4 linked regions of the Cricetulus griseus genome follow. The protein of the gene in region 2 binds, or shares a complex with, the protein of the main gene of each other region. Links are inferred from orthologs where the notes say so. Each region holds a gene or a part of one and is shown on either strand. Other genes may lie near its edges. The genes, in order: Med16, Med12, Cdk8 and Med13l.

What was found.
Region 1: Med12 (region 2) and Med16 share a complex: the UniProt entries of both Homo sapiens proteins name them as parts of the mediator complex. The link is inferred for Cricetulus griseus from reciprocal best matches to the Homo sapiens genes MED12 and MED16.
Region 3: the proteins of Med12 (region 2) and Cdk8 are in contact, whole or in part, in a cryo-EM structure (PDB 8TQ2), measured with the Homo sapiens proteins. The link is inferred for Cricetulus griseus from reciprocal best matches to the Homo sapiens genes MED12 and CDK8. Residues at the interface, in NP_005111.2 of Homo sapiens: Pro26, Gln27, Gln31, Glu33, Asp34, Leu36, Asn40, Val41, Lys42, Gln43, Gly44, Phe45, Asn47; in NP_001251.1 of Homo sapiens: His143, Ala144, Trp146, Phe180, Asn181, Ser182, Pro183, Pro186, Ala208, Arg209, His210, Thr212, Lys213, Met273, Pro274, Pro320.
Region 4: Med12 (region 2) and Med13l share a complex: the UniProt entries of both Homo sapiens proteins name them as parts of the mediator complex. The link is inferred for Cricetulus griseus from reciprocal best matches to the Homo sapiens genes MED12 and MED13L.

The regions. Positions count from the first base shown.
Region 1 is NC_048598.1:100,703,468-100,711,065, forward strand, and holds the start of Med16 (mediator of RNA polymerase II transcription subunit 16), read right to left. Parts: upstream 4,051-7,598; 5' UTR 3,978-4,050; coding exon 3,900-3,977; intron 3,668-3,899; exon of another isoform or gene 3,522-3,667; intron 3,185-3,521; coding exon 3,019-3,184; intron 2,717-3,018; coding exon 2,609-2,716; intron 2,442-2,608; coding exon 2,272-2,441; intron 147-2,271; coding exon 1-146. Other genes in the region: R3hdm4 (R3H domain-containing protein 4), read right to left, coding at 5,951-6,051, 6,874-6,929, 7,004-7,089, 7,343-7,428. UniProt on the Homo sapiens protein: Component of the Mediator complex, a coactivator involved in the regulated transcription of nearly all RNA polymerase II-dependent genes.
Region 2 is NC_048604.1:68,957,164-68,964,176, forward strand, and holds part of Med12 (mediator of RNA polymerase II transcription subunit 12), read right to left. Parts: intron 6,825-7,013; coding exon 6,713-6,824; intron 6,549-6,712; coding exon 6,459-6,548; intron 5,939-6,458; coding exon 5,829-5,938; intron 5,640-5,828; coding exon 5,504-5,639; intron 4,931-5,503; coding exon 4,769-4,930; intron 3,437-4,768; coding exon 3,059-3,436; intron 2,845-3,058; coding exon 2,694-2,844; intron 2,558-2,693; coding exon 2,352-2,557; intron 2,191-2,351; coding exon 2,113-2,190; intron 2,022-2,112; coding exon 1,804-2,021; intron 1,035-1,803; coding exon of another isoform or gene 1,031-1,034; exon of another isoform or gene 103-1,030; intron 86-102; coding exon 1-85. UniProt on the Homo sapiens protein: Component of the Mediator complex, a coactivator involved in the regulated transcription of nearly all RNA polymerase II-dependent genes.
Region 3 is NC_048597.1:82,146,343-82,154,008, reverse strand, and holds the start of Cdk8 (cyclin-dependent kinase 8), read right to left. Parts: upstream 4,938-7,666; 5' UTR 4,792-4,937; coding exon 4,664-4,791; intron 1-4,663.
Region 4 is NC_048597.1:98,631,823-98,638,835, reverse strand, and holds part of Med13l (mediator of RNA polymerase II transcription subunit 13-like), read right to left. Parts: coding exon 6,924-7,013; intron 5,837-6,923; coding exon 5,648-5,836; intron 5,140-5,647; coding exon 4,916-5,139; intron 4,806-4,915; coding exon 4,636-4,805; intron 2,457-4,635; coding exon 2,298-2,456; intron 1,426-2,297; coding exon of another isoform or gene 1,385-1,425; exon of another isoform or gene 1,384-1,384; coding exon of another isoform or gene 1,286-1,383; exon of another isoform or gene 1,267-1,285; coding exon 1,090-1,266; intron 170-1,089; coding exon 12-169; intron 1-11. UniProt on the Homo sapiens protein: Component of the Mediator complex, a coactivator involved in the regulated transcription of nearly all RNA polymerase II-dependent genes.

The sequences.
Region 1 (7,598 bases), on a different chromosome or scaffold from region 2:
TGCCCGCTCGGCTTCAGCAGGGACACAGTCACTAGGCCACTAACTGTCACCGCAATCCAGCCCTCCATGGGCTTGCCACCAAACAGCGTGAGTGAAGGAGAGAATTTCACACGGGAGAACTTCTCCCCAAAGCTGGAAGCACCCGACTGCAGGAAAGGGAAACAGAAGGAAGGGTTTGCTCAGCTCCTTGGGGTCCACCTTCTATGGCCCCACAAGCACCGAGCAACAATTCGGCAAGAGCACTGCATGAAGGAGGCCTCTCTAGCGCACAGTAATGCACAAGCCGTGTACTTCTCAGGGGGTTAAACTTGGTTCTTCACTTTCTGTTGTAACCTCTCTGAGTTTGAGGCCAGCCTGGTCTACAGAGTGATTTCCAGAACAGCCAGGGCTACAATGAGGAAGCCTGTCTCAAAAAACTGGAAAGTGTTTGAGTGGTTTCTCTGGAGGTATATATGTGCATCTCATGGGTGAGAAGTCTGTGGAGGTCAGAAGAAGGGGTTGGATCCCTTGAAGCTGGAGTTACACGTGGTTGTGAGCCAGCATATGAATGCTGGGATGTAACCCAGGTCCTCTGCAGAGGGCAGAGGCAGCCGGTGCTCTAACCACTGAGCAACCTCTCCAGGCCCTACATTAAATTTGGGAGGCAAAGTGTCACTGTTTAGTCCTGGTTAGACAGGGACTGGCTATGTAGACCAGGCTGACCTTAAGCTCAGAGCTATTTGCCTCCTCAGTGCCGGGATTGGTAAATGCCACCAGGTCCGGCCTTTTTTTTTTAACTATATAAAAATGTGTTACATTTGTTTATGCTGCATTTGTTTAACTATGTGAAGATGTGTTACATTTGTTTTGCATTGCCTGCCTAAGGCTGCTGATTTGTCGGAATAAGAAGCTGAAATAGTCAATTGCTAGACAGTAGAGGGCTAGGTGGGGCTGGTGGGCAGAGACAATAAGGAGGAAAAGGAAGAACAAGAGAGAACTCGGGAGAAAAGGAAGGAGACGATAAGCCGGGCTTTGGTGGCGCACACCTTTAATCCCGGCACTCAGGAGGCAGAGGCAGGTGGATCTCTGTGAGTTCGAGGCCAGAATGGTCTACAGAGCGAGTGCCAGGATAGGCTCCAAAGCTGCACAGAGAAACCCTGTCTCGAAAAACCAATAAATAAATAAATGAGAGAGAGAGAGAGAGAGAGAGAGAGAGAGAGAGAAAGAGAGAGAGAGAGAGAGAAAGATGCCTGGGGTTGGCCAGCCAGACACAGGAGAAGCAAGAAAAGTAGGACATACAGAATGAAAGAAATGTAAAAAGCCCTGAGGCAAAACACAGATGAAGAGAAACAGGTTAAAATAAGTTATAAGAGCTAGTGGGAGGGCTGGAGAGATGGCTCAGAGGTTAAGAGCACCAACTACTCTTCCAGAGGTCCTGAGTTCAATTCCCAGCAACCACATGGTGGCTCACAACCATCCCTTATGAGATCTGGTGCCCTCTTCCGGTGTGCAGATATACATGAAAGCAGAATGTTGTATGCATAATAAATAAATAAAAATCTTAAAAAAAAAAAAAAAGCTAGTGGGAGCCAGATGGTGGTGGTGGTGTGGTGCAGAGGCAGGCAGATCTCTGTGAGTTGGAGACCAGCCTGGTCTACAGAGCGAGTTCCAGGATAGGCTCCAAAGCCACAGAGAAACCCTGTCCAGAAAACAAACAAACAAAAAAAGCTAGTGGGACAAGCCTAAGCTAAGGCAGAGCATTCATAACTAATTGGTCTCCATGTCATGATGTGGGAGCTGGTGAGTGGCCACATGTAGGCGTGGTCTCAGCAGGTGTGTGGAAGCTGCTGGTCCCCAAGGACCTGGCCATGCCCCCTTCCTCAAAGGCATCTACCTCCGAGGAAACAGACATCTCAGATGTCTGTTGGTGCTCACTCCTCACTGGTTGAACTCCAGAATACACATGGATAGGGGAATTGTGGTCGTCATTAAATCACAGTAGAGTGGGGTCTGAAGACCACATAGCAGTCATCTGTAAAACAGGACACCATTGGATGCAGCTGCCTGTGGAACAGGGTCACTCTATAGGGACCATCATCCCATCACTGAAAGGGGAGGCTCAGGGGGACAATAGCTGTAGTTAAGCATGTTCTTGGGGACAGGAGCTCACGGATGGCAGTTACTGACAGGTATCCCACGCAAACAGGCCTGGCACATGACAGAGAATTCTGGCAGCGGCAAGGGAGAGACAGGTTGGTCACTCACAACTCCGCCACACGTAAGTCCCCTCACCTTCTCCACGTGCAGGGCCAGTTTCACGCCGTTGTGCAGCCAGGACAGCGCCACGATGGAGTCCCCCTCCACCTGGCTTCCCACTGAGCTCTCCCAGCTGTTGGCCAAGTGGTCAGCCATGCTCCAACATTTGATATGCCCGTCAGCATCGGCTGACAGGAGCCGTGAGCCTGTGGTGACAGAGTGCCATCAGGAACCCTCCTGAGGGGCAGGTTGACTGCCACCCCCTGCCCCCACACTCTGGACTCCCAGTGACTCTGGATTTAGGACTGAGAACTGAAGAAGGCAGCCCATGCTGCTCAGGGCTCTGGAATGAGAGTGAACTTCGTGGCATCACCTGACTGGTCCCATTCCAGGCAGGTGATGGCCTCGCTGTGGCCAGAGTTGACAGAGTGCACTTCCCAGGGATGTTCGGTGTCTAGGATATGGATCATATGTGTCAGGTCTGCGATGGAAGGAGAACAGGTGAGGTCGGTGTGGCTCACAGTGTCCCAGGATTCCCACGCCCATTTCCCCTCTCCCTGAGTGCCCCTCCATGCCACTTATCCCCCGGGGAGGGTTATCCAGTGCAGCCATAACCAACATTAGAGTCGGAGGACAGTGACTGGTATATGACTGCTTTCCCTGGCAACAGGGAGCCTGGCTCTGCCACCATGAGCCTTTCAAACCGGGACACACTGTGTCTGGAAATCTGAGGTAGGGTGGATCCAAACCCGGCACAGTCCACCTCTATGGACCGACACTCACCCTGGTCATCATTTCGGAGGTCCGTGGTGAAGGCGATGAGGTTCCTGCAGGACCAGGCGCAGGCCAGGGGCAGCGACGGGCAGTACGTGTTCTTGGCCCAGTTCTCCCACTCGCACACGTAGACCAGTTCCATTATGCCCACAGCACCCAGCACAGTCCCTGGCTCCTGCGGAACAGCGAGGTCCTGGCTAAAGTGGCTCTAGAGAGTTCTCCAGCCCTTGGAGCCTAAAGCACCCTCCATACCACCTAATCACCCACCCAGACCTCAGCCTAAGCTCAGCCTCCAAGCACTAAGCACCCTCCACAAACAGGCCGCACCCACTCCAAGTTCAGTCCCACGCCCCGCCCCCAAAGCTTCGCCCAAGACCTAAATCCTGAGACTTAACACACATACCCATGTGCCTCAACCAGGCCCCACCACGGGCTTTAAGCTCCACACACACCTTCTAAGGCCCTAGGCTCCGCCCCCAAGCCAACTACCAGCTTCAGGCCCCTCTTCTTACGGGTTATCAGGCCAAGGACCCCTTCTCCATCAGTCCCAGATCCTCAGGCCACGCCCCACTCTTTCAGACTCTGCTCCCTAGGCCACGCCCCTCTCTAGCAGCTTCATTTCCTCAGGCTCCGCCTCTCAGCTCAACTTTTGCCTCAGGCCACGCCCCCTCAGACAGTCCCATCCTCAGGCCACGCCCCCTCCCCGGCCTAGTCGCCTCAGGCTTCTCCTCAAGCACCGGTCCTGACCACGCCCCTTCCACCCAGTCCGCTACCCAGGAAGCTTTGCTCCCCGGCCCGCCCTCTGACCCCGCAAGTTCCGCCCCTCGGCCTTCCGCTCGTGGTCCTCGCCCGGATTGTGCCGGTCACGCGTTCCGCATCCTGGCACTGACCTGTCCGCTCCGAGCGCCCAGTCGGCCGGGCTGCCGCGATCCACATTCGCCCCAACGCCCGGGATCCGGGGCCGCCATCTCTCCGCTCGTGCCGGCCCCTCGCACAGACTTCTGGGAGAACCCAGGCTCCACCCTCTACTCGGCTAATTTGCATACAATAATTCCTAGTAACCATTGCAGCTGTATGTACGAAAAAAGACAAGTAATCTGTCATTTCTGATCACTAGCTATATCTTACATTATAGGTTTGGTCTTCTGTAAAAGACAGGAGAGAAGTACTAAAACTTTCGTAAGGAAACTGTACTCACCCTAACGATAAAGGGCTTGAATTTAGAGCCTATAAATACTGCCTGGACAAAGCAGCTGTTTGTGCTCGCTTCGGCAGCACATATACTAAAATTGGAACGATACAGAGAAGATTAGCATGGCCCCTGCGCAAGGATGACACGCAAATTCGTGAAGCGTTCCATATTTTGCCCACCCTCAGAAACACCAAAGCATACTCCTACATCTCTCTTCTGAAATTAGTTTATGTATAGCTTATCTTCCGCATATTCACTGATGGCGAAATTAGTCCCCACGTAAGTGACTTAACTAAATTTTCCCCTTTGCTTTTTGAGACACGGGCTATGTAGTTCAGGTTGGCCTCACACTGTTGAGGTTAAGATTCTTCTTTCAGCCTCCAGAACAGCTGTGCACCATCAAGTCATGAGTTCAGCTGTTATTTATTGTTATTTAAATTTGGGATTTTTGTTTTTACTTTTGTGTGACAGGATCTGACACTGTGAGTTTGAGGCTAGCCTGGGCTACATGAGACGCAGAGGTCTGTTGTTGGACCTTTAGTGCCAGCACTCGGGAGGGTGAAGCAGGCAGATCTCTTGAGTTTGAGGCCAGCCTGGTCTATAGAGAAGGTTCCAGAACTGCCAGAGCTACACAGAGAAACCCTGTCCCAAAAGACATGTAGCCCAAGTTAGACTCAAACTCAGGGTATATGGTGCTGGGAATGGAATTGAGCATGCTACGAAATCAGTCACTCTACCCACTGAGCCACAGCCTGGCATCCCACCTTTAAGTATTTTACACATTTTAAAATGAACTAAAGAATCAAGACTGCACTTTGCCCTGTGTGTCCAGATTTCCGGCCCCCAGCCCTCGGTGACCTGTTACTTCCCCACCAAACCCCAAGACACAAACAGTCAAGGCCTGAGCACCAAGGCTTTATTAAAAGTGTCCCTTTCCCCCAAGCACAAAGAACCACACAAAAGGGGAGGAGGCGGGCCCATGGAGCCTCTGCAGTGACCACAGCTATGCTGGGTGGCAGAGGGGACAGGGAGGAGGACAACACACAAGGTCAGAGGCTTCTGGCTGGAAGTCCTGGACCCAGGTATAAGTGTTAACAGGAGGAGGATCTGAAGGGCAGGCAGAGCCCAGGGAGTCGGGGACACGAAACACACATCACAAAAAAGCATAAAATCAGCCCTTGAGATGAAGCTTGTCCAGGTTCACCAGGCCCATGGCATGTACACACACACACACACACACACACACACACACACACACAAGACAAAGTGCCCTGGGGAGATCAGCTGAGTCCTAGAGAGGACCAGACACCTCCATCAGAGCTGAAACCTGGAGGGGTCAGGCAGGGGTCACAACAGAACCCACTACCAGCTGGCACTAGGTGTTTTAGTTGTGCCTCAACGCTTCAGAGGAGAAATTAAAGCAAACCTATCCCAAACATGCCAAAACTGATGGGGGGGTGGAGTGCAGGGGTAAAAGAGTCTGGTCACTTTGCCTGAGCTTCAGACTTCAGCCAAAGAAAAGCTAAACAGAGAATAAGCATGAAAAAGCGTAGCTCAGGTCTCCCCACCCAAACACAAGTACCAGAGCAGGGGGCTACGAGGCTGCCCTGTGCAAGCTGGGCCATGAAGGGGTAGGGGCAAGGGGGACTCCCGAAGAGAAGTGGGGGTGTTCTGATTCTGAAAGTATGCAAGAAATTAGCAGACATTGGAGGTCTCGGCAGGGCGAGTCAGCAGGTAGGGGCTCCACCATCATTGCTGATCCAGGTAGGCAGACAATAGTAGCTCTGGAGGCAGGAAGTCCAGGTGACGGTTGCTGACCTTCATCTGCCTCCGGCCCTCCAGGTCAGCACCTGTGGACAAACAATGTGAGGAGGACTGCAGGAGCTGGGCCAGAGGGCTCCCCTAGCGCAGGTGAAGCCATGCAGGCAGGAGGTTCAGGACCGCATGCACAGAAACCTGTGCATATGGCTATTCATGGGATGCACTGGAGGCTAGCCTAGGCTATACCCAAGCACCCAAGACCAACAAAAGAAACTGGGTGGTTGGAGGGGTGTGAGGCTAGCTGTGACTCCCCTGTCCAGGGGCACCCGCTCCGTCCAGTCCTACAGTCCCTACAGAGAAGCTTGCCCCACACTAAGCCCTCTCCATTCTCAAGTCCCTGAGAAGAGCCAGGTGTGGAGGCCGCTTCATTCTACCACAGAGGGAAACCAGAGGAACCAATTCCCCGGGCTGCCATGGAAACTGTCACCACAGCAACTCCAAGCAGGAGGCAGAGACAGGTAGAAAGAAAGGGAAGGACCAGATGGGGTACCTGGAGCTACCAAGGTTGCTGACAACCATCCCTGGAAGGAGGCAGCATTGCATACACAAGAAAATGGAAGACAAAGGCCTGTGGATTTGGGAACCTGTTGTCTCCTCTCCAGGTCTGGGATAGACCCTCAACTGCAGGCCTTACCAGCCTCACCTTGGTTCCTCTTCCCTGGAGCTGTGGATGGAGGGTATCTGCCCACTGGACACCAGAGCACACTCTTCATGAGTTAAATAACTACCAGAGCCCCACAGCCATGGCTCTGCTATGAACCCACACAACACATCCGTTTCTGGGGCTGGGCCCCATGGCCCCCGATTCCTCAGGAGGAATGGGTGAAGGGGCAGTGGGAGCAGGCACTCACTGGCTGAAATGAGATCCATGTACTGGCAGACGGCGTGAAGCAGCAGCCTCTCAAAGCTGTAGAGGAAGGGACATGAGCCACTGAGCCAGAGTGGGGAAGGAGAGCACCCTCCTCTCCCCAGCTCCTGTACCTGTTGTCCAGCATGGCGGTGTACACAGCCTGGGGAGACACGGAGAAGAACGCCAGCAGACGCTCCTCCCAACTCTCCAGGGTTTCCTGTGGGAGTGGGAAGAGCTGAGGGGGGTCACAAAATCCACAGGACGTGCCCTAGCTGTCTTCAAGGGTGTCAGGCACTTAAGCATCACAGATCTGGCCCTGTCTTTTGTCTGTCAAATTCTGCAGTACCCACTTGCACTGAGCCAATCCTCCTCCTCCTAACCACACCACCAGGATGGCTCCTGCCACCTCTTCACCAAGTCAGAATGGTGACATGGAAAGGCCAGGTTGAGAGGAAGATGGGGCCACTCACCATCGGGATGCGGCTGCGCTTGAGCACGGACCGCAGGCGACGGCTGATACGCCTGAAGCACTCATGAGGTGTAAAAGCTGGGTCCTCTGTGGGGGGGGGGGGTAAGGAGAGCTCAGGCCCTGTCTCCCAGGCTGACCTCACCCTGGGAGGCCCCACCCACATCACACACACACACACACACACACACACACACACACACACACACACACACACACACACACACACACGGAGCCTGGGCACATCCACTAGGGAACCC
Region 2 (7,013 bases):
ACGGACGCCTGCCTGGACACCCTGGGCACTCAATGGAGTCATAGTACCCATCATGGGTGTCTGCTGCAGTGTTTGGTGTGAAAACCTCCAAAGACAAGAGGTCCAGGGGTCAAAGCACAGGGCAGAGAAAGGGGGTGGTACAAACCCTGGGTCCCTGACCTGAAAGCAACTAACAAGTCATTGTATTCATTCCTCTTGGCACTAACTAGAGGAGCCCTTCTGGAGTCTGACAGAATTCTAGGTCAGGGAATAAAACACAAAGACAATACTCCATTTTACTGTCTCATAACCTTAATGCTTAGGAATTTTTCGATTCTGTTTCAGCTATTTTTCTCTTATGAAAAACAGTCTGCACACGATAAGCAGTCTATAAACACCTATCAAGGGTTTTGTGGTTGCTGTTGTGCCCCAGAAACACCCCCAGTTTTTCTGCTACTCCATATGCCTGTTCTACCCAAGTCTGCCCATCCCTGACAATCTGCAGCTGGGCTCCCTCGCTCGTCTTCTCCCACCTTCCCCTACACTCTGTCCACTCTTTCCACAGTGATCTCTTACCATGCCAAGCTCCTCCTATCACTCTCTTGAGCAAAGCAGTCCTTTCTGGGGTTGTCTCTCAATGCTATATCTCACTGTTCAATGTCATATGTCAGCTTGTCCCCTCTAACTTAGCCCCTGCTCCTTCCCTAGCTCAAGATTCACACTACATTTAAGATTTAAGATCTGCTCCTTTCTGTCTCTAGACACTCAATCCAGTCCCATGTTTTTGCTCATGCTGTTGTCTTTACCTGGAATGCCCTTCCTTTTCCCCTTCTCTACAAATCCCAATCATAGCTATCCTTAATGGTCAGCTTGAATCCGTGAATCTTTCCCTAGTGACTCTGATCTACATTGCCAGTAGCCCATCTTTTCTCAAGTCCCATTTTGTTTGTTGGCACCCAACTGAACACTTGATCATGTCTTTGTTCATACCATTCTCTAAACATTCTTCTGCATGGTATCTTCTTCTTCTTCTGTATAAGACCTCTACTTCTCAACTAGGGTAAAAAAATCTTTGTGGTGAGGAACCTTGTATGTTTTTTTTCACTCTTTCCTCACTCTAGTCCTAACATAACGTTGGCTACACAGCAGGCAATTAATCAGCCCACTCTAGAGTATTCTGAATCCTAAGTTGCAGAGCCTCATGACAGTTACCCAAGTCTTAACTAAGATTTGACTAGAATTAATTATGAAATTTATTTGTTACTCCATTCTAGAGTTCAAGTGCTTTTTCTTCCCTTGAGACAAGGGTCTCATGTAGCTCTGGTTGGCCTCAAACTCATTATGTAGCCAAGGATGATCTTGAACTTCTGATCTTTCTCTAGAGTGCTGGTATTGCAGGTGTGTAATAACATGCCAGGATTTATGTGTTGCTTGGGATTAAATTTGGGACTTCATGCATGCTAGGTAAGCATGCTATCAAGTAAACCATATCCTCAGCCCTAGAGTTGACTATTTAATACCAGATTTAGGACTTCTTATTCTTTACTATGTCTAAAAACCCTAGATCCCTTCTTATCAAAGTTAGCTGTATTTGTTTCTTCTCTCTGGTCCTCAAGAAGTACCAGGGTTGTAAATGTGAGACTATTGGTTTCCAGGGTCCGTTCCAACTCAGGTTGTTTGTGGTAATGGTGATGGGACAAAAGTAGTATTCCTGATGTCTCCCAAAGTTCAGGCTCATCTATTACCTCTAGTATGGGATTTCCCAAATCAGATGCTTGCTTATATCTCAGTGTCCCTTCCCAGTTCACCACTAACTTTGGATACCTTTGAGTGGAAGTCAGTCCATGCCCATACGTTGGGGCCTGCTGATGCACATAGCCACTGGGCCGCTGTTGCAGGTGGCGGGTAGGATCTACAAGAGTAGGATTGGTAGAAGGGTGGGTGCTCTGATAAGGTTGGCTGGAGTAGCTGGGGGGCACCATGGTACCTGCAGGGCCTGTGTGTTGCTGCAATCCCACATGTGATACATAAGAAGTATAGCCCTGGAGAGAAGGATGCGAGACAGAGCTGGGGCATGAGTGTGTAAAGCAGCTTGCTCCCCTCTCCCTTATGTTCATAGTCTTAGGCACTTACCTGGGAAGTCTGCAAACCATAGGAAGAACTAGGAGTCATCTGATGGACAGATGACTGTCCCAACATCCCCTGACTCTGCTAAAGGGAAAAAGGAGAAGTCAAATTCAGGAAATGCTTTCTGTCATGTCTCTTTTATACCTTCTACCCTGCATGTTCTTGTGAAGTTCCCAAGTATCTCCTCAGTCCTGTGACCCACCAAAATCCCTCTCCCTGACAGTCCTCCCTACTGCCCCTCTCACTATCTTTGCCTGGAGCTGTTGGCGAAGGCGCTGTCCCTGGGGCACTGTGGGTTGCTGCTGCCGGTACACAGAGGTCTTATAAGATGAGGGTTCAAGGCCCATGACAGTAGTCATAGTTGTGGGCAGCACACCAGGATAAGTTGGTCTAGTTGGCAGCTTCTGCATTGGTAATCGCACAGGGCGGTAGGGGTCCACACGAGGGCCACCTGGAAAGGAGAGCAAATTGACCTCTCTGAGATCCTCATCCCTTCAGCCTGTTAAAAAATACAGTTCCAGCCATCCACATCTCCCCTGGAGAGGGAGGAATGTTCAACTCCACCATTCGTAGTGACTAGCACTTACCAGCAGGTAGTGGTTGATTCTGGGTGTACAGGCCTAGGGAGTTCTGCCTATAGTTAAGGTGGGATATGGAACCAGGATTTGCATGGTGCAGAAGGTCTGGAGGTACTGTCACACCATAGGGGCCACTCCGACCTGGGCCCATGCCATAGTCCTGCATGGGTGCAGAGGACAAAGGTTACAGCAGTTGGGGGTCGGGAGGTAGGAGAAGGAGGGAGAAGGGTGTAAGCAGGAGTGGCACTGATACATTATTATCACGATTCTAATGGCACCCCTTCCCCATGTACCCCATACCTCCCTTAAACCAGGAACTTTAGCTCCCTACCACACAAAATTAGGAAGGGGGTAGGTAGGGATGGGGGACTAGCCTCCGACTTGGTGGCTGGCTGGCTGCGTTTTTTGCCCTTGGTGGACTTCTTCTTGCGCTCCTCAGTGCTGGGAGGAGCAGCCCCCTGTTTGTCAGTCTTGGGGGGCTCAGGAGCCTTTTTCTCAGGCTCTAGTAGGGCAGGGGCTGGTGGCTCCTCATCTTCTGGGGGCAGTGGTAGTGGTTCCAGGTAGTAGGCTCTGGGCCGAGGCCTCAGGTGTGTGTGGTAGAGAAGCAGCCGTTGCTGCTCCTCCCCTCGTGCCACTCGGCGGTCCACTCGGACTGTGCCAAACCAGGCCCAGGAGAGTGGTGCTGTTGATGGCTTCAAGCCCTCAAAAAGATCCCAGGGGGAGATCTTTTGTTTGGTGGAAACTTGTAGACCCTGCTCCAGAAAATGAGAAAACAATGAGCTGTTGAGCCTTGGAAACAGGAGGCAGGACTTGAGAACTTATAGAAAGAGTAAAATATCTGTTGACAAGTTTTCAAACAAGGAAAGACTTTTAAGTAGATCAGGGGACATGATGAGAAGAGGAAAGACAAACACTGACACAGACATATGCAGGAAAGACCATTTTTGCTGGCACAGAGTTGAATTGCAGGAGAAAGGCGTGAAGGGGAAAGGTAACGCCAGGACAGAAAGAGGTACTGAAGGAGCAGACAGGGAAACAGAGGTGCTGGGGAGGGGAGAGGCTGACAGAAAATGTGAGGGACACAAAGAAACCATTGGGGAGGGAGGAGCAGAAAGGGGAAAGGAGAGGAAGAGGGAAGAGGAGGAGAGGAGGGGAGGGGAGGGGAGAGGAGAGGAGGAGAAGAGGGAGAGTGAAGGGAAGGGAAGGGAAGGGAGGGGAGGGGGATAAGAGGGAGGTGGGGGAGAAGAGGGGGAGGAGGGGGAAGGGAGGGGAAGGAGAGGAGAGGCAAGGAAAAACTAAAGATGGCAGAGAAAGAGAAGAGAAAGACAGAGGAGTAGGGGTAGAGAAACAGGGAGGGCAGGAGGGAGAGAGAGACACACTGATGCAGAAAGGAATCAAGAGAGTGTATACACAAAGGGGTTTCACTTTGCATTTGAAACTCTGTATTCCCTTTTCTCCCTCTTCTATGCAGAGTAATACATTTAATCAAGAAAATACTGAAACTAAGGGCTGGAGAGATAGACCAATGGTTAAGAGCCCTTGCTGCTCTTGCATAGGACCTAGGTTTTTTTATTATTATTATTTTTCTGGAATCCACATCAGGCGGCTCACAATCACTTATAACTCCAGCTCTAGGGAATCCAACTTCTGACCTCCATGGGCATCTGTACACATAAGTGGCATACATATGCACATATAATGTTTTTAATCCAAATATTGAAGCCAACATGAAAAAAGGGAAGTAGAGTTGGGCAAGTAGAGAGACATGAGGAAAAGAGGCAGGGGTCAGCAGAGCGGTAAGAGGACAAGAAAAGAGGTGGGGCAGAGGGGAGGGAAAGTGGGAGAGGGTCAGGAAGAGATAGGTGGAGGTAGAGCAGTTTTCAAGAAAAGGGTGAGATTACAAAAGAAGGGGAGATAAAGTGCAAGGAAACCTAAGTGATTTGCTTAAAGCCCAGGTGGTCTGTAGGTTTTATTGAGGAGAGCCTAATGGGCTCCTGAACTCAGTGTGTTAGCTGGAATTGTGAGATCAGAAATGAAAATGGGGTGCTAGGGGGTAGAGGGCATGGCAAGACAACAGAACATGCCTCCTTCTTGAAGATGGAATCGAAGCCGGCAATCTTGTTGCCTTTGGTGTCGATAAGGGAGCCCTGTGGCTCACAGGTAATGACATCTCGGTTCTGCTTGGGTAGTGGCAACAGTTGATGAACCTTTTCCAGACTGTCAGACTGGCGCTCCCCCAAGTCCTTCTGCAGGAACAAGAAGATAGGCCATGAGTTCAAAGATACAGAACAAGAGAAGTAGGAAGTCTCAAGGGTAGCAGAGAACATAGTATGTATAAAGACACTAAGAGCTGGGCATGGTGGTGCACAGCTATAATCCCAGCACTTGGGAGGCTGAGGCAAGAGTATTTTCAGTTTGAGGGCCAGCCTCGGCTATATAAAGAGCCACCCATCTCAAAAACAACAACAACAACAAAAAAAAAACAAAGATAATCTCAGCACTCATGAGGCTGAGGCAGGAGGATTGCTATGGGTTCAAGTGCAGTATGGGCTATGTAGTGACATATCCCTTACAGGACAACCTGTGTTACCAAATGAGATCCTGTCTCAAACCAAACAAACAAAGAGTAAATTTTAAAAAAGGCATTTAGTAAATCTGCATTGCACAGACAAAAAAGAACAGACAGGAAATGGGGAGGAAGAGGGCTCAGACCAAAACCAGTCATCTCACTCCCCACTCCCAGCTCCCAGGCCACACAGTAAACACAGGCAGAGTTGAGTCTCCAGCACCCCAATCTTGTTCTTGACTCCCTTGCTCACCTGAAGCTTCTTCACCAAGTTCATATATGCACGTTTGTTTTCCTCCATGCTGCCCTGAGAGATACTAGACATGTCTGCAGCCAATGTTCCATTGATAAGCACACTCAGCATGTCCAACACAGTTGTGAAAAGCTCACTGTGGCAGGTATGGAGAAAACCAGAGAAGCAAGAGGTTAAGAAAAAACAGGCAGGAAGGGATACTCATGATGTTATCCTAAGGGGTGTGAGACTGTGTGGGGAACTCAGGGCATGGAGTCACTGGTTCCTGCAGCTGTTATGTGGTAGGGACTCCAGGAAAATGGCCTGCAGGGTTGAGAATGCTCACTTGTTAGACTGCATGTCCACAGTGCCGCTGATAATGATCTCCAGGAGAAGCTGGGCCCACTCTGTAGTCTGCTGGGTACTACGCTGCACTGTGTCAAACATGCCTCCCACCTGCCAGAACCACAAATCAGTTAGATGGTGCAAGGTGATAAGTGTTTGAGAAAAGCTTAGGTTCGAACCTGGTTGGGTGGGAGCAGAGACCCCTGAGGCCATGTCTCATCATTTGTACTTAGGATTTACTATTCAGTCTTGGGTCAGTGGCTGAATTTGATATATCAGGATCTGTTTCATTACTTATAAAGAGATGGGACTTGTACTAAACAAATTCCATAATTCCATTCACCATTCTAAAATAGGTTTCTAGTATTTCTAGGGCTCAGCCAGAATGTCCAATACTGAAGCAGCGTGCCTGAAGCACACAGGGTATTCAGTCTATTGGATCCTGGCTACAGGGGTTCAGTTCCTCTAACCATTTTAAAAGGTCCCGTATCCCTTGAGAAAGCAGGGTTAATATTGGAAGACCTCAAAGAACCTAGGGCCTCCATTCTCAATCCTGTCTTCCCCAACCTGGGGCTTCCTAACTGTATTTCCAGGCCCATCCCTTCTTCCTTCATGCCAGATTCCCCCTTACCAGGTTGAGCCGCAGTTTGAGTGCCTCATGCATTAGTTGCTTTGGTTTGCAATCATCTAAGTACTGGTTTTCTCGCCAATTGATCACAATCTAGGATAGAAACAAGTTTAACACGTGCTCAGGGATCTTCTCCTTTCTAGTCCAAGTCATCAAATGTTTTTATCAGAAAATAATGAAGGGTCCAAGCATGTAGTGGCCTCTTAGGTACATCCTTCCCCACCCTGAGGCCATCTCCATGGCCCAGACACCCATACCTGGTGCACCTGGCTGTGGAGAGAGGCGAGGAGTCCCTCGCGTTGCTCATCCTGCCCTTTCAGACATGTCAGCACCAGTGATAAGAAAGGCTGCTGGCTCAACAGGGACATGCTAAAGCCATGAGGAGGGGGAGGGCAGGTAGAGGAGACTTCAGGTCAAGCAACTTCCAACTTTCTTGTCCCAGATTCTACTCTTAAAACATTTTTTTTACATTTCATTTCTGTTTTCTATGTATTTGTTTTCTTTTGTGTGCAATCACGTGTGCATGCCATGCTGCACATTTGGAGGCCAGAGGAAAAA
Region 3 (7,666 bases), on a different chromosome or scaffold from region 2:
GACTAGAGAACGAATCTCACCCACCTCAATCTACAGTCACCACTGCTTCCTCAGAACCCTAGCTCCAGCTCTTTGTGAGGCCAGCTAGCCAGAGCTACTGGCAAAGCTGTGTGTGGCAGCTCCTGCATCCGAGAGGCCACCTGGACTGCATGGCCAACAGTGCTCTGATGGAAAGCTGCTACAAACACACAAATAAGCTGTTTGGTACATGAAGATAAATACAGCTCCACTGACAAAAATAACCAGAGACCTTATCACAGCCACACACAACACACACTGCAAGGCACAAAAGAAACTAAGTCAGAAAGGCATGGCAAAGAAAAGCCTACACACCCACAGGGCTTTGCAGGAAAAAAAAACCAAAAAACAAAATTAAAATCAAAAGCACACTTTTGCTATTCCTCTCAGAATGACCCAACTTTTCTCATCTTCCAAGAGCCAACCAAACATTGCTTTCTCCATAAAACCCCAAAGTAATTCAGAGCTTCCTTCTCCAAATTACAATTAACATTATTATAGTACTTATTAAAATTGCTATAATTTTTGACAAGTTTGTTTTCCCAGGAGATAATTCCTCAAATAATGCAACGTTTCAATTCTTCGCCTTTCCAATGATTCAGAGTGGCCCAATAGCTAAGTGAATGAGTTTTTCAAATCTTAGAAGTCTCAAAGTAATAGTTCACATGAAAACTTCCAAATGACTTCTTTTTTGGGGGGCGGGGGGGGGTTTCCGAGACAAGGTTTCTCTGTGTAGCTTTGGAGTCTGTCCTGGAACTCACTCTGAAGAGTAGGCTGACCTCAAACTCACAGAGATTCTCCTGCCTCTGCCTCTCCAGTGCTGGAATTAAAGGTGTGCACTACTATCGACCAACCCCCCAAATGACTTCTTAACTTGTTAAACCTTGCAAACAAGCCGGGCAGTGATGGCGAACGACTTTAATCCCAGCACTCGGGAGGCAGAGGCAGGCAGATCTCTGTGAGTTCGAGGCCAGCCTGGTCTCCAGAGCGAGTGCCAGGATAGGCTCCAAAGCTACACAGCTGTCCTGTCTCGAAAAACAAAAAACAAAACAAACAAACAAAAAAGAATTAAACCTGGAAAATGACTCAAAACAGGAGCTAAAAATGTACTAATCGATGCCATGTGGGTAAGACATGCACCATAAATATTACTCTTGTCCCTTCCCATCACTCTTTTTTTTCTTTCTTTTTAACCCCCTCTCCAAGATAGAAACTCTGTGTAGCTTTGGAGGCTGTCCAAGAACTTGCTCTGTAGAACAGGCTAGCATGGAACTCACAGAGATCTGCCTGCTTCTGTGTATGCCACCATTGCCTGGCTCCCATCACTCCCCCCCCTCCACAGGGTTTCTCTGTGGCTTTGGAGGCTGTCCTGGAACTAGCTCTTGTAGACCAGGCTGGTCTCGAACTCACAGAGATCCGCTTGTCTCTGCCTCCCAGTGCTGGGATTAAAGGCATGTGCCACCACTGCCCAGCCCCATCACTTTTTTTTAAAAGGTTGTAAGGAACACTCATTAATGCACATCCAAACTATCCAAAGACTCAAAACTACAATAAACATTGAATCTAGAGTCCCTTGTGCTGACTCCCCAACAACAGACAACCATGGGAGCAGGTACTAACTAACCCAACACCAAGGTGACAAAACGAATGTTGGGTAGCTTTTGCATCTTTGGGAGTTGCCCAATTTCTCAGGATGCAGAAAAATTCAGAGGTTAAGGTTACTTGTTGCTCTTGCAGAGGACCTGGGTTTGACCCCCAGCACACACATAATGATTCACAACCATCCATGACTTCAATCAATCATATATGTGGTGCTCATTCATATACACAAAATAAAATTAAAAAGCACAAGAGGCTGAAGTAGGAGGACTGCTTAAGTTCAAGGCCAGTCCGAGCTACATACAGAGTGAGTTCCAGGTCATCTTGGGCCATATCAACTAGCAGATTCAATTGTATCTAAGGTATCAGTGGCAGACAGGGATGCTGTCCGGAGTCTTCAAGCTAATTATATGAAATAAAGTGGTTAAGGGCATGGGCTCCATTTTAGCCCATGCCTTTAGTCCCAGGACTCAGGAGACACAGGCAGGCAGGAACTCTGTGAGTTCCAAGCCAGCTTGGTCTACAAACCAAGTTCCAGAGCTGTTACACAGAGAAATCCTTTTTTTTTTGGGGGGGGAGGGGGCAGACATGGGATGTGCTCCAGAGTATATACACCGCAAGGACATTCTCAGGTCCTAACTGACATTGCTACTCACAGGACAAATCTGCTTAACTTTCAACGGCTTAGTTTCCTCATATATGAACTGAGGATAATAGGATTGATTGGTTTTTTTTTTTTTTGGGGGGGGGTGTCTCGAGACAGGGTTTCTCTGTGTAGCTTTGTAGACCAGGCCAGCCTCAACTCAGAGATCCACCTGCCTCTGCCTCCTGAGTGCTGGGATTAAAGGCATGCACCACCACGGCCCAGCTCAGATTAAGAATACTTTTGTGAGACCAAGTACCATGGTGTCTCAAGTGCCACCACAAGAAGCAGAGGCAAATGGATCTCTGATTTCAAGGTTAGCCTGGTCAGTGGTCTACAATCACAGCTGTTTTAATTCTAAAACTCCCATGGCATTTGATTCACTACAAAAATTACCAAAGTCCATCACAATAAACAGAATCATTCAAGGCTGCTGGAAAACAAACCCAAAACATAAAAGCTTAAAAAAAAAACCAAATGCAAATATTCAATTGCAATTACCATAAGTGATTAAGAAATACACACTAACACCAGCTATTTTTTGTTGTTGTTGTTTTTGAGACAGGATTTCTCTGTGGCTTTGGAGGCTGTCCTGGAACTAGCGACCAGGACATAGATCTCTCATAGAGATCTGAGTGCCTCTGTCTCCTGAGTGCTTAACATCAGCTATTTTTAAGATATGTAATTTCTTCTGAAATTAATCTTAACATCCTAGATGAAAACTTACCATCAAGATGTAAAAGATAAAGTAACCCCTGCATATACATCATATACTTAAAAAACCCACAATCAAACACATCTGGATATTTTATTAGCCTAACTTGGCAATGTATGAAGCCAGAATTGGCTCCTTTCACAGGGCCACAAAAATCACTAGCATTCTTAAAAACACAACAGATTGGACAATGTACTACACCATATCAAATGTCTTGGGAGTGGAGATGTTATGACCATGTTTCAAACTATGTGATACTGAGGGATGGAAGATGCTTTAACCCTCTGTAGAAAACTTTGCTGCAAATTCAGATGATTTCTTTAAATATAATTCATTAATAAAATGTTGACAAAACAAATCTAGTCAGACAAGAATCAGCAGCAAGGGCTCTGGATGCCACTCACTGCTATCCATTTAAAGCCACACAGCACCCAGAACACCAAGTTTTCCACCACTACCTTCTGCCCATATCTTCGTGGTTTCATTTTTGCACAAAAGCACTGAAATACATTATAAGAAGGCTTAATAAGGAGAAGTGTTTAATAAACTGACACTTCCTTTTCCATTATCCAGACTACTAAAGTATTTATAAACAAGCTCCCTTGGAAAGAACTCCCCGCAACTTTAAGGTTTCACTTTGTAGTGCTAAAGCAGTTCTGAATATGCACGCCTGTGAATATGAAAAAAAAAAAAGTCTTCTAAATAGTAAAATAGCAACTAGTCAAACAAGGGATGCTCAAGGAAAGCTGTTTCCAATAAACCCCAAAGATTATATAATAAGCTATGACAATCTTTCCAATAATTTCCTAGTGTCAAAGGCAACAGAAATAATACCTATTTGTACAAGAGAAAACGGGAAATTAATAAAGATTTTCTCCCCAACTAACAATTACTTTCCCTTTTGTTAATACTACAATGCAGTCATCTACTGACAAAGGAAAAAATGAGAGCTTCTATTTACTGTTAAGAAGCAAAATTAAGAGCATTACCAGTCATAGGTTTATTTCTTGTTTCTAGGGGAGAATTTTTGAAGCAGGAAAGATTATTTAAAGTTCACTGGCAGCTGATAAATTCTGGTTAAAGAGCTTGCACAACATAGCCCCGATTATCTGTCACTTGCTTCCCCCCCCCATCCACTCTGCACCAAATCCCCATTGTTCTATATAAAACCTCACAGCTAATGATACCTGAATAGCAACTGCTACTTTACATTACAGATGATCCTCCATGGAACTCTCCAGTCCCACACTCACTCGCTGTCTTCTTTCCCCCATCAAATCCAAATTTGGTCAACTGTTCACAATTGATAAGAGAAAAAGATCTCGGCTTCTCTTCCAGACTGATAGACATCACTCCAGAGGCGGGTGAGTTAGTCCCCAAAAGGTTACCGTGATAAATCGACCAAAGAAAAACACATTCGAACTGGCATTTTATAACGATTAAAAAAACAACAACAAAAACAAAAACACTGTACTGAAATCCACAAAAAAAAAAAAAAAAAGGAACACTGCCCATGAGACAGACGGTCCTTCTCCCTCTTGCACGCAGGGTTTCTTGTGTATTTGGATTCCTGGGACACCACTTCCTCCCCAAAGCAGGCTGACCGGGACAGAGGCAGAAGTAGTGGCACCCTGGCTGGCCACCTGCCTCTCAGCCTCGGGGACTCCCGCAGCGACACCCACACTCACCCATCTTTCCTCTTCGCCTTGTAGACGTGCCCGTAAGTGCCTCGACCAACTTTGCAGCCCTCGTATTCAAACAGGTCCTCGACCCGCTCCCGTTCGCTGCTCAGCTTCACTTTAAAGTCATAGTCCATTGTCACAGCCTCCGAGGCCGGGGTGCTGGGGTGGGGGGCCGAGGGCCGCGGTGGAGACCGGGCCGCGCGGCAGCCGCAGCCCCCGAGCTACACCCGCCGGCCGCAGCACCAGCCCGCCTCACGCGGCGACGGCAGGAGGCCCCGCGCGGGCGCCGGGGACATCCAGGGGAGCGCCGGGCGGTCCCCGCGGGCGCGAGACAGCCGAGGGACGCGCTGGGGGCGGGGAGCAGCGTCCGCCCTTGTCCCGCGCTCCCGGGGCGCCGGCTCTCGCGCGCGGTTGGCCGCGCGTGCTGCTGCGGGCGCGGGGCGGCCACGGCTGGCTCTGCTCCTCGCCCACGCGCGTCCGAGCCTCACCTTCTCCCACACGCGCTCACGCACACTCAGGGTGCCATCAGCCCCGACAGACCAGCGACGCCACACAACAGCCGGTAGCTTCTCCGAGAGGAGGAGGAGGAGGAGGAGGAGGAGGAGGAGGAGAAGGGAGGGAGGGAGGGAGGGAGGGAAGGAGGGCGGGCGGGCACGGAACCCGGCAGACGCTGTCGTAAAAAAGGTCGCGAAGCCTCGCGCTGACTCCGCCCCATCTGCGAGTGGCTCAGGAGGTGGCAGCCACCCCTTCTGACGCCGGTACGCGAAAGGGCCTCGCTCGGCGGCAGTGCGGAGCTGCTGACAGACTCACCACCACGTGGACCAACCCAGTCGGTAGCCCGGCCAGAAACTACAAGGCTCAGAATGCCCGGGTGCCTGCTGTAGCCGCCTCTTCCTCGACGCCGCGAATTCAGAGCGATGCATGATGGTATTGGTAGTCCATCACGCAACGAATTTCGGTTGCATGGAGATTATTTTTCCCCCAAAGCGTTATCTCTGCAATCTAAATTAACCCATATAAGCTTAGCAAAAGACACTGTTTAGCGAGGGGGTTATTTTGTATTGGAGTCACTTCTGAACTTCAGGATTTAAACGGCATTATGGCTGCTTCCCCCCCCAAGCCTCCAGGTTTTAATACTACAAATAAACTACGTAATTGTATTCATGGCTTGTCTTCCTTCACCTGACTGTATATTTCATGAAGTTCTCGGGGTTTGTACTTGCTAGGCAAGCGTACCATTATACTTCCAGTCAGGTAAAGCTATTTTCACTGCACTGAAGATTGAACCCTAGTTTTCATTTAAGTCTGTTGACAAAAAACAAAAACAAAAAACAACCCAGTTATCACCTCGAAGACAATAAGAGTTTATTGTGGAGCCAAATATGAGTGGCGACGGCTTAGAAACATAAATTTAAGTTACCATAAATTCCAACTTGTTAACAGTTTAATGACAATTTTATACCAAGAGAACAAAACAGTGAAGGGGGCTGGGGGGTAATGGTAGATGACAAAAAGCTTGACACATGTTGTCGTTTGATTTCTGTTACTGCGATAAACACCCTGTCTGCACACAACTTGGGGAGAAAATGATTTATACCAACTTACAGGTTAGTCAATCATCAAGAAACTAAAGCACCTTTTTTGTTTGTTTGTTTTTAAGCCATACATGTATATGTATGCCTGTAATACTAATGCTAGGCAGGCAGAAAAGGCGGGATCTCTGTAGCAGGATGGCCAGCTAGTCTTAACTGAAATGGTGCGCTCAAGGTTCCATGACAGACATCAACCTCTAGCCTCCAGACATGTATGCTTACACCTGTACAAAGAACACGTATACACACATTGGTGGAAACATCCAGGACGTTGGTGATAGAAGGCAAGAATGCATCTGCTAATGGTCTTACACGTCCTCTAAAGGCTAATTCTTAGCTTTTGGATTGGTGGGAGTTAATGGTCTGCTTGTGTATCCTAGAAAGATTTAATCAAAACGAAGATGCAGATTGGGGGGGGCGGGGCTTCGGTTCACAGCTCCCCCTGTTGGCCAAGCATCACACCTTTGTGTTGTGGAAGCCTAATATGTTGCACACTGTGAGGAAGGTTTGTCTCTAGAATCTCATAAGGGTGAGGATGAATAGGCAAGAAAGGCAGGGTTCAGGAGAGACAAGTAGCTAGTAAAGACATTAAGGAAACAACAATAACAAAACCCACCTGGATAAAATCAAGTTACATCTATTAATTATAATTATCCAAATCTAATTTTCCCCTCCCACCTCCACATCTGACATATGTAAAACACAATAGGGATATTCCACCTACAATTGAAATAATCCAGAATGGGACCGGAGCCGTAGCTCAGTGGTTAGGAGCACTTACTGGTTTTACAGAGGACCCAGGTATAGTTCCCAGGACCCACATGGAGTATCATAACTGTTTGTACTCCAATTCTAGGGTTCCAGGACCCACTTCTGGAACTGACAAACATGGTGCACTTACATACATGCAGGCAAAACACTAATATATAAAATGAAAAACAAATATTTTTTAAAACAATAATTAAGAACGCAGTATAAGCTGGGCAGTGGTAGCACACACCTTTAGTCTCAGCACTTGGGAGGCAGAGGCAGGTTATCTTTGTGAGTTTGAGGCCAGCCTGGTCTATGGAGTGAGTTCCAGGACAGCTAGGGCTACTCAGAGCAACCCTGTCTCAAACAAACTAAACAAAATGCAATGTGACCCAAATATGTAAATACAACAGAGAGACAGAGGAAATCAGGTCTTTTTATTCAAACCAACCAAACCCTGTAATTTTAAACCAGTTGGTCATGTTTCCCTTGAGTCTATGTTGCTTTTTACTCTATGAAATATTTCATTGGATGTTTAGAAAATTTTAAAGTATTACCTTTTAATTTTAGTGGATTTTTAAAGTCAATTTTATTTTATAAATATAACCTCATAAAGAGTGATTAGTTTGCCAGGCAGTGGTGGCGTACGCCTTTGATCCCAGCACTT
Region 4 (7,013 bases), on a different chromosome or scaffold from region 2:
ATAGTCCTTACCCGACTGTGCTGGAAGTGAGAGCCCACACCGATTCCAGAGGGAGAGCCTGGGGACGGAACCGGGGAGGAGTTGGGAGAGGAATGGAGGTTCCCAGTCATTAAGATGCCAATGTCATTGTCCATATCGTCTGGGAATGGAAGGTCTACAAACATATCATCTAGAGGGGAGAAAAACACAGGAAAATTAAGAAGTAACCATATTCCACTTTAGTATATCATGCTCTGCTAATCTTCACCTGCTACAGGGACGGTGTAGATACCTAACAGGCATTTATTGCATACAAGTGCTACAAGCTGTCCTTTCGTTTTCTCTCCAGTGACCTGCTAACTAAATAAAAATACAATGGAGAAAGCCCCCAACTCCTTAGAGCTCTAAACACAAATAAAAAGATGAAAGACAGTTCAAGGGGCAGCTCGAATGTTGCAAGGTCAATGTGGGCACTATCCAGCAACAAGCAGACTCCAGCTAAACAGGTAGGAGCCAGTCCTGACATGGGAGGAGCCCATTCCAAAGCAGATCAAAGCACTGTTCCTTGGGGGATGCTCTCCCTCTCACACTTCAAAACCAGGGTGCACTCATGGGAAATTTGGAAGAGAAAAGTGGAGGTAAACTATCACCAAATACCTAGATGCCATGGACACTTGTCATGAGCCCTTCCATTCCCACAGAATTGAGACTTCAGTGAAGCTGACATAGTCACATTTTAGTATCTTTTCCCCTCCCTATTAAACATGAATACTGGTAGGTAATTAAAATCCAAGAACATCACAAAAAATGAGCATTTTACAAAAATATGATCATCTTTCAATCCCATAAAGGTATTCCAACAGAATTCCATTAAGAATGATCAGATACGGAGCTAGTCTCCGGTAAACTGCATCTCTACAGTGAGCTAGGAAGGTTGCATCTTCACACGGCCATGCCCTCCACACTCAAGCAGACAGAGAGCAGTTCACCCAGGTGGTCCTGAGACTCTGCATCTCCTCTCTGTGGTTTCTAGGACACCTCTACAACATCCAACAGCCTGCAGCATCCACCACCCCACACTTTCTACCTACTACTGTGCCTTCCACTCACCATTGTTGGGACTAAAGCCATCTTCATTGGGGTAGTTGGCTGGAGCCACTTGGATGGTTGATGATGTCGGGAACACCAAGATGTGGGTGCAGGAAGCATCCTGAGGTGTGTTCAGCTGAGACGACTGCATATTCAGCGCAGTGCTTCGGCCAAACACGGAGCCCATTGTGACGGCATCTTTCAAGAGCAGGGTGTGTCAGTGTGCCCTGCATACCACATCCCCAGAAGGAGGCTCTCCCCTGATACAAAGTCTCAGGGACAGGCATTCAAGGCTGCCCCAGTTCCTTAAGTGTCCTTAAAGAACCCGATGGAGAACACCAGTGATGATGGCCTGACCTTCACACCAGAAATGTGAAGTTAAACCTGATGCAGTCCACCAAATATTTTGTAGATTACTTATCTAAGATGTAAACTAAAACCCTAATACTGACCTCTCAGCATTGTTTCCAACTTTGAACTCACAATTTATAAAAGCACCGTTGTACGTGACAGCAGTTAACACTCTAACTAACCCTATACTCAAAACTTATCACATACTGGTCTGTCCTAAGCTCCATTCACATGTCTCACTGCTCAGCACACCCACCCTGAGGTCACAGCAATTGTCTCTACTTCATAAATGAGGGCAGAAACATCTAAAAGTCATGTAAACTTTCCCAGTTACTGATGGCAACCAAGGTGAGCTGAAGTAAAAGAAGCATGGTCCAGCCACTGTCCTGTACTGAAGCCTATCCTCGGTCACTCTCCTGACTTCCTGTTATCTGAAGTGTAAAGCAGACCTAACCGTGTAGAAGTGCTTAGGGGCAGTCAGCAAATAGCTGTTGCTCCCCACAAGCCAGCTGCATTTCTAAAGCTCACTGAGCTAACCTATGTCCAACCTTGTGTTAAGTGCTCTTCTCTTTTCTTTATTATTCATTCTCAGCTACAGCACTGGGAACCACACTGGGGTCTAGAAGCTTTTTGGAGGGTAAAATCCTAGGATGCCAAGAGACTAGGGTTAGACAACACTCACTAGCTGTGGATTTACCTGTTTTCACTCATATCCAGACTTAAGCTGTGGTCAACAATAATTAAGTCCTCCCTAGGAAGGTATCAGATGGTCCCATTTTCTAGGTCTAAATCAAGCATCTCTTAGAGATGAAATACTTATGCATTACATTGGACTGATAAAATACCTAATTGATGTTAACTGACAAGAGACAATTTACCTGGCATCACTACAAAGGACCCCTGGGGCTCCATGGCAACCAGACAGGCACTAAGGATAGAAGGAGAGTCTGCAGCGGAGATCCCACACATCCGGCACACATCCTTGAGCTGTTTGCTGATTGTCTGTAGCGAACATTCTCCAAGGAGGATACTCCAGTCTGAAGTCAGAGATCACAGACACAGTCTTTAGGGGTTCATATGGTATTTTAGATGTTTGTCAATTCTGCTTGGAAATGTCACTGGTGTGACCCTGTCCTAAAGGGAGTGGGGCTTTCCACTTAGTCCTTTATTTCCTGGCTTCTACTTCACTGTATTAATGCAGAAACAAAGGCCTGCTCTTTATAGGCTGCCATCTTGTCTAGAGTGTCCTTTGAGGGCCCGCAACAGACCCTGGAAGATTCAAGTTCTAAAATGCCTTGAATGCTAAGGTCTCTGCTGGCTGGGCTAGCCTGTGCTAGCCATTCTTTTTTCAGGGTCTGATTCTTTCACTACCCCACCAGCACTTCCCTCTGATACTTGCTCACTGCCCCTAAACAGAAGGGCACTGTGTCTAAGCACTGCTGAGTCCTGGTCTATGTAGCTTCTGCTCTCAGTGCTCTCACTGAGTTCCTGATGCTCAACGCAGGCATCTCTAAAGTCATGCAATTCTCCCTCCCAGGGAAGTGCAGGGCAGTGTGCTTTATATTTCTAATGAAATTCACACTGAAGTGGGAGAGGGAAAAGTGGCTGAGAACATGAAGAAAATGTCTTATAATGGCAGGATATCAGACAGACCTGAGTGTCACAATGCATCAGGAAGACAGTCCTCTTTCTGACAAGACTGGCAGCTAAACAGCAGACACCAAGGCTACCTGGAAGCTGAGGCCTCTGTTTGCCCTCACTCAAACCATGGCTCCCAAAGGAGGAGCCCAGGTCAGCAGGGAAGTGACTATGTGCTCCTCCAGCCATACTCAGGCTCTCCCCTTAAGGGGCAAGGAAGGAGAGTACACCCCTTCCCACAGTCATGCACCGAAAGGGCCTGAATCATTTTCTGAAACACCAAGCAACAGACAACACGTTCACCCCCTGCTTCTTTTCTATTATTCCCTCCCCTTCCCAAGGGTTATGAATAGCTGAAAGCCTTTAAGAAAGAAGATTGACTATGAAGCAGACCAGGGAGGAAGAGAGGCAATCTGACAGAAATGAAGGGCGGAATCCCCTAGTGTATTAACCTCCTGGCTACTGATAGCAGACTGCTTCTAAGAGAAGTGCTGTTTAAAAAATGAAAAGGCCCCATTTTCTCCCAGTCCACAACATCAAGTGTGACTAGAAGACAGCTCCCCCAATTCCCCCACCCCTGGTCTGGCACGCACTGCAGTGTGTGTACACACATGCCTGTGAGTCTGAAACTTTGAGTGCTGATCTGCCTTCTTATAGCAGCAGCTTGCACATGGGCTCTGTCTCTCTCAAAGATTTAATCCCAGGGATTTCCACAGTACCTGGCTGCGCTTCCTGTAGTCAAATAGTGCACACACTCTAACACAGGAGCTGGTGTGAACTACGTACAGTCTGGGGCCAAATCCTGCCTACCACCTGTTTTTGTAAATAGAATTCTGTTCACAGACAGCCATTCATGTAGGTATTGTCTTATGGTTGTTCACACTGGCAGAACTGCAGAGCCTCAAAGTGATCACTTGCTTTGCAAAATGAAATTATACTCTTGGCCCTTAACAAGGACACTGCCCACTCTACTAACCACAGGCTACTTTTCAATGTATGTCTTCTTCTTTAATTAATTCTATGTCCAAGCAGTCATACTGGTAAGACTTTAATCTACAAAACAATTCCTGCACCTAAGGCTCAGGGAACACTGTGGAAAGGGGTGACTGTATGAGTCAGAGGCCTGGGGAGTCTTCTGTGAGACTGTCTCCTAGTGATGTCAGAAGCTGCACCCACACATAAGGAATCTGTTGGAGGTCCAACTTGGGCCCTCACGCTTACAGCAAGCATCTTACACACTGAGCCATCTCTCCAGCCCTGAAGGCTATTCTTACATATGACTTTAACAGTCTCCTATACTCTGATAGACTTACTCTGTTTACTGTCTTAATATGTAATACTATGAAATTAAACTACCATTTCATACTAATGAAACATGTTTCCTGTTTTACATTTTGAATATTATTGTGTAAGTGATGGGGGCTACAGAGAAGCTTTTAAACCCTGGTTTCTCCCTTTATATAAAACAATCATTGTCATCAAGGTTGGTCTTTGGGGCAACTTTAAGGCCCTGCATGCTCAGCTGCCATCATCAGTTCAGTCACCTCTGTCCCTGCACCTGCTTCAGGGACTGCTCACCTTTAAGCTCCCCATGGCCAAGACGCCCCAAGCGGCCGATGACGACTCTCCAGGGCAGAGATGTCATCTGGACAATCCCCAGGCACCATTCCCATAACTTCTGCAGCCCAATCTTACGCGCGGACACTTTACTCTTCCGTGACCTGACAGAGACAGAAACAGGAAGGGTCCTACACGAATCAGCTGTCACTTGGTAAGACACACAGTCCATTTCTAAAGCACACATCCATGCCATCCCCACAGAGTTAACAGAAGTGAACACAACAGCAAGGGTTCTCACCTGCTTGGTAAAGCAATGTTTACAACACAGGTCTCCAGTAATTCCCCATGGAGGTCAGTGCAGGATGCCAAAAGCCAGCGCTGGTCATGAGACAGACAATAGCCCACAAAGAGTACATTGTATTTCTGGCTCGCCTCACCAAAAGTCTCTCCTGGTTCTGTCTGCTTGTCTTTGATTGGGGCCAATATAAAGGGAGGGGAATAAAGCTGGATTGGGCTGGGCCGCTGAAATAAGAATCAAGTTCAGTATCAGCACAAGGCCAATCAAGACATCATTTACAATAAAACCCAGAGCAACGACGAGGAAGAAAACAAGGAATAATGACAACAGGAGGCTCCCGCCATTCCCTCTCCAGGACTAAATATACAGTTAGCAATGACAACACAGACAGCAAAAGTGTTGTTAGAATTCAACAACTATGGGGCCCTGTGGCTTAGCTGTTTAAAACACCTATCTAGTAAATGCTATAAGCCACCAATGTTTGATTAAAAGAAACTACTATATTAGAAAGTAAGCTTGCCCAATGTCAATAGGCACTAGGAAAGCAGAAACTGAAACCACAGTAAGATCCATTATACACAGCCCCAGGAAGGTCTGCAGTCACAGGCATCAAACTTCAGGGATTGGCAAGATGCAGAGTCATGGCTCTAGGCAGGGAGGTAGGAGAGGTGCTGCGGTTCATATTACAGCAGAAGATGGCTCTCTGCAGAGATCTCTGCCTCCAAAACTCACCTCCGGATTCTTGAGGGTCATCTCAATGCTGGCTGCAGGTCCAAAGCCCGTGAGGGACTTAATGTGGATCTGTGTAGGCAACGGGCGCCTGCACTGGCAGTACACTGAAAATGCCATGGACTTCAAGTATTGAATGTAGAAAACATGTTCATCCTTCATTGTCTGCAGCATGTACTGGCAAGGCACAATCTACAAGATGCAAGCAACAGTCAGTTCAAAACACCACAAAGCAGACAGCTACAAAATGAGAAGTGGTGGGTTTATGGCTAGAGGGACCCCCTTAACTCTGCCACATGCAGATGTCAAATATAATTATACCCTAATTCATCCCAGTGAAATAAACACTGTTCCTCAAATGTCCATCAGCCAATTGAGAAGGCTAATATCAGTAAGCCAGTCTCCTTGAGAACTGTCCCACTCCACTGAGGGCATAAATCCTCAACCTCCTATCCCACCCCCCTCATCCTTTAACCCTGCATCTTAAGGTAAGCTCCATGTGTAGAATATCTGACATAGCATGCTGCAGTAGTATCTAATCGCATGGGACTCAGACTTTGAGATAATGACAAACCATCAACAATCTGTTCTGTTCACTTTAACTTCAGTCCCTGCATTCTACAAGACAACTTCCAATAAAATGATAACGAACCATTTCCATCGCACAAAACGCTTAAAAATCACTTCATTTCGGAACTAGCAAAGGTGCAGGGAAACAGGCATGCTCATCCACTGCTGAGAAACAAGAACAAGCTTTTCGGAAAGTGGCATTCATCAGTGGCTAGATTTAAGTATCCACTTTTAAACATGACTTAGAATATAATACAATGCACTGGAATGTTTATAAGTTTCACTTACACCAGTGGAAAAAGTGAGTGCACACCAAATGCTGACCGACATGAGAATGGCCAAACATGTAACATATGCTGAGCCATGTGGCACAGGCCCACAGTCTCAGTACTGGAGAGGCTGGGGCACTGGAAGCCAGAGGTTAGCCTCAGCGCCATAGGAGACCCGTCTCAAGACAAGAAAGTACTTCTATGACAAGTGACACTGGAAAGGTGTTCAAGTGTTAACTGGAAAAAGAACCTTGGCATTCTAACTGTGTGACCGAGACAAGGGGCAGAAACACACTAGGATGGAAATGGTAACTGAATCTAGAGGACAGGAGCCCTGAAGGAGCACAGTTCTCTTACAGGCTCCTGGACTTGCACCTCAAAGGACTGAGAACTCTGTCTCATAGAAACAGTAGCATAGACAACAAGTTGTGGATAGCCACCTGGAGAATGAACGAGCTTCTCATGTGCTCGGGTAAGTGATCCAGCATCTCCGTGTAGCAGCGCATCAAGCTCAACAGCCAGAAGTTTCC